Oryzias latipes: one gene and its partner. The protein of the gene in region 2 interacts with the protein of the main gene of each other region in a pairwise test. Links are inferred from orthologs where the notes say so. Each region holds a gene or a part of one and is shown on either strand. Other genes may lie near its edges.

Region 1 (4,216 bases), on a different chromosome or scaffold from region 2:
ACCCTGATTTAGCTTTGTGGACTTTTAGCTGAGCTAATAAACATGCTGCATTTGGATCCAGCCGTCTGCCCATTCTTGTGACAGAATACTTTGCCAAACATGGATCCAGCAGGAGCTCCCAGCCCGATGAACCCGGTGGGGTTTGCTTCTTTGTTGCTGGAGCACAGTTGCCACCTCCCTCCAGGAGTAAAGATGCAAGAATTATTTAAAGACTTTTGGATCTGAACTGGACTTTTTCTATAGCTTTAGTATTCTTATGTAATAGGTGACAAATGGATTTATATTTAAAGGGCTGTCTCTTTTAGAGCTCTTTGGTCTTGGTCATGGTGGAGAGGTTGGAGTCTGAATGTTTAGGGGAATAAATAGGTGTATTTTATTCAGATAATAAGTTCAAACAGGTGACATTAATACAGGAAAGAAGAGCCACAGGTCTCTGTGGGACAGAATTCTAGCCTGTTTGTTGGAGCTAAATACTTATTTTCAGCACCATCATACAAATAACTCATTAAAAATCATACTACTTGATTTCTTGGAATATTTTTTGTTTCATTCTTTCTCTCATTGAATGTATGATTAACATTACTGACCTCTTTTATCTTAGTAAGTGGGACAATGGATAGAATTAGAGGCTGATGAATACTTATTGACTTTGTCACCTTTATTAAGGTGTTTATTTTCCAATTACAGCTGCCAGTGTAAGATTTATACAGAGGAATAACACACAGCTGTCGCTGAGTATCAACCTTGAATCATAGATTTCTCAAAGCATTTCTAAAGATGCCAAAATGGCTTCCAGATCTTCTTAAAGTGTACGCCTAAGATAAAACGCAGATGGAGCATGAAACTGGGGAAGTCAGGGAAAACAGAGGATGAAGCGGGGAGGTTGCAGCCAGCAGGAATGCAAAGGTCCTCTGCAGACTGAGGCATGGCAGAGGAGGTGGCCGACAAGTCAAAACCAAAGCAGCCCCTTCGAGGGTGGAGACACAGGCAAGAGATGCGACAACATCAAGGAGGTACTTAAACTAAGCATCATCTAAACATGGAAATTGGTGAGCCTTCAGAGCTGCCTGATTTGTATTTGCTTAGAGAACCAGTGAAACACTACCCGCTCCCTGTTCCTCACAAAAAAGGCTTTACAAGGTTTGCAAGCTTACTCCTGCTCTTAAATCAGAAATGTTCATCTATCCTTTGATAATGGCAGCATATCCCAACTCGGGACAAGTGGAGCACAGCCTAAACAGATGTTTGTATTTATTGTGATTTTTAGAATTTACAAATAATATTGCAAAAGGTAGTTTGTTCTTAAAATTTGGAAGATTTTAACAAAGAAATTATAAAATATTGTTTGTAAAAAGCCAACAAAACACTTCCGTCAGGTTTATACAGAGTGTCAAGACTGAAGACTTAAAACAACTGTTAAGTGACCTGACAGGAATGGCTGAAGGACCAAAAAAAGACTGGAACTATTGTGAGGCTTACACTCAAGGTTATGATGGTGACATCATAGTGGAAATCAGGATTTAAATCCCACCAACAGCTGTGAGAGGCAGGCAAGGCATGCTGGGAATGCAGCACAGGAGGACAGGCCTGGCTGGGACGAACCACATCAACTGCCTCTGTCTGAGTCTGTGCCCCGGGCTCTCACCGCACAACAATGCAAAACCTCTTTTCATGTCATCCTCACACATGGCTCATCCCAAACCCAGAGGATAGGTTTTTTCCAATGGTATACCTCCTGTTTATTATGTTATAAAATGATATAAAACTGATCATTTTTGACCAAAGATGCAGAGATAATATAAAGTGGGTTTATTTAATTGGAAAAAAACAACATTCAGGTATTTTACGGTTCTTTCTCAGTTTAACGATCCTATGTGCAGCAGCTGAGCTTAGTGTTGCATGATTACTCACATCAGCTGCTTTTTTGTCAGCAACTTCCAGCTTCTCCTGAGCGTCCTTCAGGGCCTCAGAGTATTTATCCAGCTCATCCTCCGTCGACTTCAGCTTCTTCTGCATTTGCAGGAGTTCATCTTCATGCTGAAGACAAACCGACAAGGAAAATAAATCATCTACACAGCAGGTAACCTGAAGAAAGTCCTATTTTGATATACTGAGCTGCACTTAATGCATATGAAATTGCCCTATGTTATTACACTCCCTTGTATATTATGTTTAAACAATTCTTCTTACCCTCTAAGAATTTTTTTATTTTGTTTTCAGTTTAAGACCTCTGGTTTTATTCAAAGACACTTTATTATTCCCCAAATTAAGAAGTTGTAGTACATATTTTTTAACTTTATCTTTATTGACAACAGTGACTGAAAACAATTTTTGTTATTTACCCTCAAAGTAGAGGAGGCTTAAATTCTGGAGCTTTTTTTTAACCTTCCAACAACCCCATCAGTAAAAAAAATGTAAATCTTTAGTAATCATTGTCTGGGGTCGGTGATCAGAACAATTTTTAAAATACAATTTTTTTTTTCTATGTGCTTAACTTTTTTGTTGAGCTGGGAGTTAAAATGTTAACAGTGATTGTTGGTTTTTATGGCTTTTTCCAAAAAAAATGTTGTGCTTTTTAGATAATTGTAGGTCTTTTAAATGTATTTACATTATAGATTGCCATGACCCACCTGTTTACTTCTGTCCTCAGCTGCTTTCCTGTCAGCCTCAGCTTGTTCTGCCTGGTCCAGTGCGTTCTCCTTGTCCAACTTCAGCATGAGCATTTTCTTCTTGATGGCTTCCATTTTGGCTGTTGGGTTCCTGAAGCTGACAGGGAAAACAAACAGAGGATTTTGTCTAAAACAGGTTCTAGAGCTTGTCTAAGCTGGTGGAAGAACCAAACTCACTCAAGATATTTTTATATAGCAGACACCTAGCTCCTCCTTCTTTAATCCCACCCTTTGTGACAAAGTGGGTAACGTTACACCCATTTGTCCCAGAACTCTGTCCAACATTTATTAAAAGAGCACGTGTGTTTTGCCATTTTCCATCATAAATCAAGGTTCAAACATTTGTTATTCCTGTTTTGTGTTGTATTTATTCCATCTAGAATATGAGTAATCTTACAGGGTTGTGGAGAATCACACACAACATTCAGCAATCTCCAATTAAAATAATTTTTTTTCTGTCTTCTCGAGATTTCAAGATAAGTTTTAGTTTTATTCTGTTATCCTTAGAAAACTGGTGTTTTCTTCTCATGATAATGAGTCTTTAGGTTATTATCTCGAGAAAAGAGAAAAAAATTGACATGGCTATTCCGGTCTTCTGTAGTAAACATCTGTTAAAGTGAGTTGAGAAATCAAACTTTTTTGGCAAAAATGTTTTTATTACCTACCTTGTAACACCCCTTTCCCCCCTCCCAGACAAAAAGGAACCAGATAAAACCTGAAAAGTTCAAAACCTCATTTTAGTCAAAATCATTTTTCCCTTTCATTTTCTGACAAAAATATTGAGGCAGTTCAGTTGAGATTTCCTCATAATATTCTGTCCCTGACATTCTGTGTTGCCTTTTCATCGGGTGTCAATATTAGAATTGTTATTGCTTTAAACTCCTTCCCTCATTTATGCACTGATTAATAACTGAAAGCTTTATTATAACCGTACAGTTTATGCAAATATTGTTAAGGAGAAAAACCACTCTTGTTTTTAGAGGGGCTCCAATAGTCTATGCCCCCACCACAGCAAAAACCTAATTGTGGTGTTTGAAATGTCTTCCATGAAGCAACAATAACTTCAAATGCAAGACCGCAGCCTTTACTGGTGTGTGTCAATTCAACTGAAACTGAACCTGAAGGGTTTCTTTCTTTTTTATGATCCCTTTAACTCTATTTGAAAATGTGACAGCGTCTTATAGGATGAAAGAAGAAGGAGCTGCAAACAATGCCAAGAGAAACATTAACTGTGTGCTTGAGTGCCAAATGCCCTGGGATAACTATAACGGGATCTCTCCAGGGAATACACAACCGTGAATGTGTCGCTTATTCCTGTCTAAGCCCTGCTGGGTTATTAATAAACATGTTTTGGCTGACATTGTCCTACGGATCAGAACAAAAGAATGTCTGCAGCTTGGCCATGCTGGTGGAGACGACTCTACAGAGAGAAGTGTTTAATGGTTCTGTTAGTTTGACGATAGTTGATGAAATTATGCAAAACATAGGAATATGCTATATTTTGTTTTCTGTAATTAAAGAAAAGTTTTTTTAATAGATGGGGACAT
Region 2 (4,154 bases):
TTAGCAGTTCAAAACCCGTCGGCTGAAACCCTCCACGGATGACGAAAGAGACACGTATGAACGACTGAATCATACGAGGAAAATGTGCAATAATGTAGGTCGCGGCTGTGAGACGACCTTCAGGTTAGAAACCTGTAGAAGTCAGAAAACGTGAGAAAAAACTAAATCAGAGCAGATCAGTCTGTTTCAGATTAAAACCTTTTACAGTAAGGCTGAGCCGTCGCTGGTCTGCTGACCCACAATGCACCACAACACTGTTTTGCTGACCCACAATGCTGACCCACAATGCACCACAACACTGTTTTGCTGACCCACAATGCTGACCCACAATGCACCACAACACTGTTTTGCTGACCCACAATGCACCACAACACTGTTTTGCTGACCCACAATGCACCACAACACTGTTTTGCTGACCCACAATGCACCACAACACTGTTCACCTGCTTCCCAAACGGGTTTCAGGCCGTGAAACCTACAACCACCGGCCTAGACGCCATGGACACGTTTGTGGGCGGAGCATCACTAGCCGAGTCAGAAACTGGACCAATCAGATTTCTGTATGAAATCCATGCATACAAATCCATAAACATACTTTATGCTACAGACCCCACAGACAGAAAAGACGCATGGCTGCCCGTGGTCATGGCGCTCCTCATCGGCCCTCTGAGCCGCGTTACCTTGAAGCTGAGGTTGGCGCTGAAGAGCGACGGCACGGCGTTCTCCTTCAGCACGCGGTTGTTGCACTCCCTCTTGAAGCAGTCGCTGGTGAAGTGTTGGGAGCAGATGTTGCTGTACTTTGTTGGTTTGAAGTTGTTCCTCCTCATGGCCGCCACCCACTTCCCGCAAACGTCCGGACGCGCCAACGGGAACCTTGCAGTCCGGGACGACAAACACCACGTTCAGCCCATCGCCGGACACGTTTCTGTGCTTCCGTCTGGTAAACAAATGTTTTAATCTCCAGTAAAGTTCTAAACGTATCTAAAGGTGCAGAGGCTCCCGTCACCGTAAACTCTGCCACAGAGAGCCAACAAGGTCCTGGTAGTGACTTATTCTCCCCCCTCCACGACCATTAACATTAAATTAAATCACACCATCTGTGTGACCTTTTTTGCGCCACATTTGACCCCTCCCCCTGGCGGAGCGGTGAGCTGCAGACCATTTGGTGGTTTAACCCCCCAATCCAACCCCCTAATACTGAGTGTCAAGCAGGGAGGCATTGGGCCCCATTTTTATAGTCTTTGGTATGACTCTGCCTGGGTTTGAACCCACGACCTTCCAGTCTCAGGGTGGACACTGACCACAGGGCCGCTGAGCTGGTTGCATATTCATTTCTCATTCCTGTCAGTCATTTCAGTCTTAAACTGCCATCACCCAATGAGCTGTCAAAGTGTTCCCAGAGGTCTTAACGATGGTTTTTTTTACCATTTTCCTTTTCTAGAACAGTGTCTGCAGAGCGGCAGGAGCTGATCACAAATTCACCTCCGAGTTGTGGGCGGGGCTATTGATGTGGACTAAGCCCGCCCTGATTCCCATCATCCCTTTGCCCCCCACCTAACATTAGCAGAGCAACAAAAATGGCAGCATAACGGAGATATCCAGCCGTCAGCTTTGACTGCAACAGGAAAGTACGGTGGCCCTGAAGTACAAATCACATCAATAAGTCATGTGACGCAAAACCTTTTTAAGATCACAACATACAAACAAATATTAAAAAAAATATACAGAAAACGAAATGAAATGATGTAAAATGAAACAATGAGAACCCGGAAAAGGTCCATAGGACTGAGCTGATTGGACGAAGACGCTTGACCTTCATGTCAGTCAGAAGCTGACATGAAGGTCGTGGATACATCCGTCCCATGATCCTCCAACAAATCCACCTTTCTGGTTTCTCCTTGGGCTTCATTTTCCCAACATTTCTAGGAATAGTTTTAGTTTCTGATTATTTGTTTCGCTTTTTATTGGTCGTTGTGAGTTTTTAAATGCTTCACGTTAAGCTATTTGCACTTCAGGGTCACCGTAGAAAAGATGAACCCATTGAAAGCCTTTCTTTGCCTCTAGTGGGACTCGAATAAACGTGTTTGACCGGTTGAATCCAGTGTAACGGTTTGACACCGTAGGATCACTGCAGGTATCGAACGAAACCGGAGCGGACTACCGTCCTTAAGTCGTTCAGTCCAAACGTCTGTACCGGACAGACCCGGATGAGTGGTGAAGGTTAACCTTTGACCTCCTAAACCTGTTGAAGCATTGCTCAAAGGGTACTCGGTAGTCGGGATTCCAGCAGTCACTCGGTTGACCGAGAACCACCAGCAGCATGTGGACCCGCCGGTACCGGACGGACGGACTCATGACCCAAACTTTCTTTTTTATTTTCCCATCATGCACCGTGGATCGGAGCGCGAGTGAGGGAACGTCTCCGTTAGGTGCGTTTACCGGGAGGTTTTCTTCCCGGAAAACCGGCGCTCCGGCGGCGGAGCGTCCGCCTCTGTGGGAGGGGCTTACTTGTGGAAGGAAATGTCTTTGTCTTTGTGGTACCGGTTCTTGCAGCCGTACGCCGAGCACGTCTGGACCATGGCGGCGGCCCGGACAGCAGCCGAACGCGGACAGAGCGAGGGCTTCGCTGCCACTAACAACTATGGCGGCGGAAGAATCACGTGATCTGTGTTCTGAAACGTGATTGGCTCAGGCTTTCTCTGGGCATGCGCAGAGCGCTGGAGAGCTGCGCTTCCTCCAACGGGCGGGAGTGGAGGAGACGAGTTTGAACCGTCAACAGGCACAGCTGCCATTGATTGACTGATTGATTATGAGAGCATTTCAGGGATACAGAGATCTGTGTCACGTGTACAATAACATTAACGTGTCTTCGTGTCAGTGCAACATTCATACCTTTAAAAAAAAAAAACTTACTAAAATAACAAATAATGGACGAAACGACATAAAACGGGCTTGGATGTAGATATTGAGTAAAATGTCACACAATCCAGCTTTTTGTTCTTTTCCCTTCTCGTTCTTATTAGGAAAATGTAATGAGTTTTATTGAAGCTGCTGTGTTGTCGTGACTCATTCTTTATAATATAAAGTTGTGGGGAAAAAGTGCTTCAATATGTGTTGAAATGGTTGAAAGTAAAGACAATGATCCTAAATATGAAGCAGACGTCCACAGTCTCCTCAGTGACCAGCAGACGTCCAGGTTTCACGGTTTCTGGCGTCTCCAACTGGTTTATGGCGGTTGGAGGGAAATGGTTTTGGGTCTTTCCGTCTCTCTTCACCAGCGGCGTTTGCCTGAAGGCAGCAGGTCAGACGGCGGCGGTCCGGGGCGTGTAGCGTCTCTGATGAGGCTCTCTGCTCTGCTGAGGCAGCGGGAGCTGTGGGGGGGTTTCCAGGGCGGGGAGGGGGCACCCAGCATGTTTTGGGCGGTGTTGGCGAGCCGCCGGAGAGCCTTCCTTCTAGCCGCTTTACGGCGGCCGAACCAGGAGCATCTGCAGTGTTGGTCCACGTTCCGCGGTGGTGAGGTCAAAGGTCACCAGCTGTCTTTGGGTCATGTTTGTCTGAGGGAACGGTCTCTGTTGGGCTTTTCAGCTGCTCACTGGGGTTCATACTCACATTTTCTCTTTGAGTTAAAAAAAGGGAAAGTATAGATCAAGTTGTTTCAGAGACTCACAGAATATTCCTTTTTTTAACTCCTAAAACCTTTTTTAGACATTAATGACCAAAGATTTCTGTCTTGTTTGGTTGATTTGGTCAAAATGATCTGTAGGTGTCCTGGATGAAAGGGGTGGGGGTTGTTGTTCATCCTGTATTTTACTCTAACCCAGCCGTCGGCAGCCCGGGCCGGGCGCCACCGCGGCACGTGGAGGGTTCTTCTCACAATGAGCTTTCTTTCCCTATGAGGTCATAAGGCAAGGGTCCAATCATGCAGTGCCGTTACTGTGACTCCGCCCACCTCTATAAATACTAAGGTTGCGTCCAAATTCCCGCCCTAACCCCTATGTGCAGCACTATTATGTAGAGCCCTGGATTTTAAAAGGAATTTGGACGCCACGTTCACTACTTTTGTTTTTTAACGGCGGATTTGACGTCATCGATTTCACAAAGTAAACATAATTAATGTGAGCGTTTTGGGACGATGATTTATGATCCACTGTCTC

The links.
Region 1: the proteins of thap1 (region 2) and tpm3 interact in binary tests that used the Homo sapiens proteins (3 or more experiments, as listed by UniProt). The two-hybrid records come from large-scale screens. The link is inferred for Oryzias latipes from reciprocal best matches to the Homo sapiens genes THAP1 and TPM3.

The regions. Positions count from the first base shown.
Region 1 is NC_019869.2:21,739,455-21,743,670, reverse strand, and holds the start of tpm3 (tropomyosin alpha-3 chain), read right to left. Parts: upstream 2,856-4,216; 5' UTR 2,745-2,855; coding exon 2,631-2,744; intron 2,038-2,630; coding exon 1,912-2,037; intron 1-1,911. UniProt on the Homo sapiens protein: Binds to actin filaments in muscle and non-muscle cells. Plays a central role, in association with the troponin complex, in the calcium dependent regulation of vertebrate striated muscle contraction.
Region 2 is NC_019870.2:29,950,297-29,954,450, reverse strand, and holds the start of thap1 (THAP domain-containing protein 1), read right to left. Parts: upstream 2,801-4,154; 5' UTR 2,580-2,800; coding exon 2,509-2,579; exon of another isoform or gene 2,440-2,508; intron 874-2,439; coding exon 681-873; intron 1-680. UniProt on the Homo sapiens protein: DNA-binding transcription regulator that regulates endothelial cell proliferation and G1/S cell-cycle progression.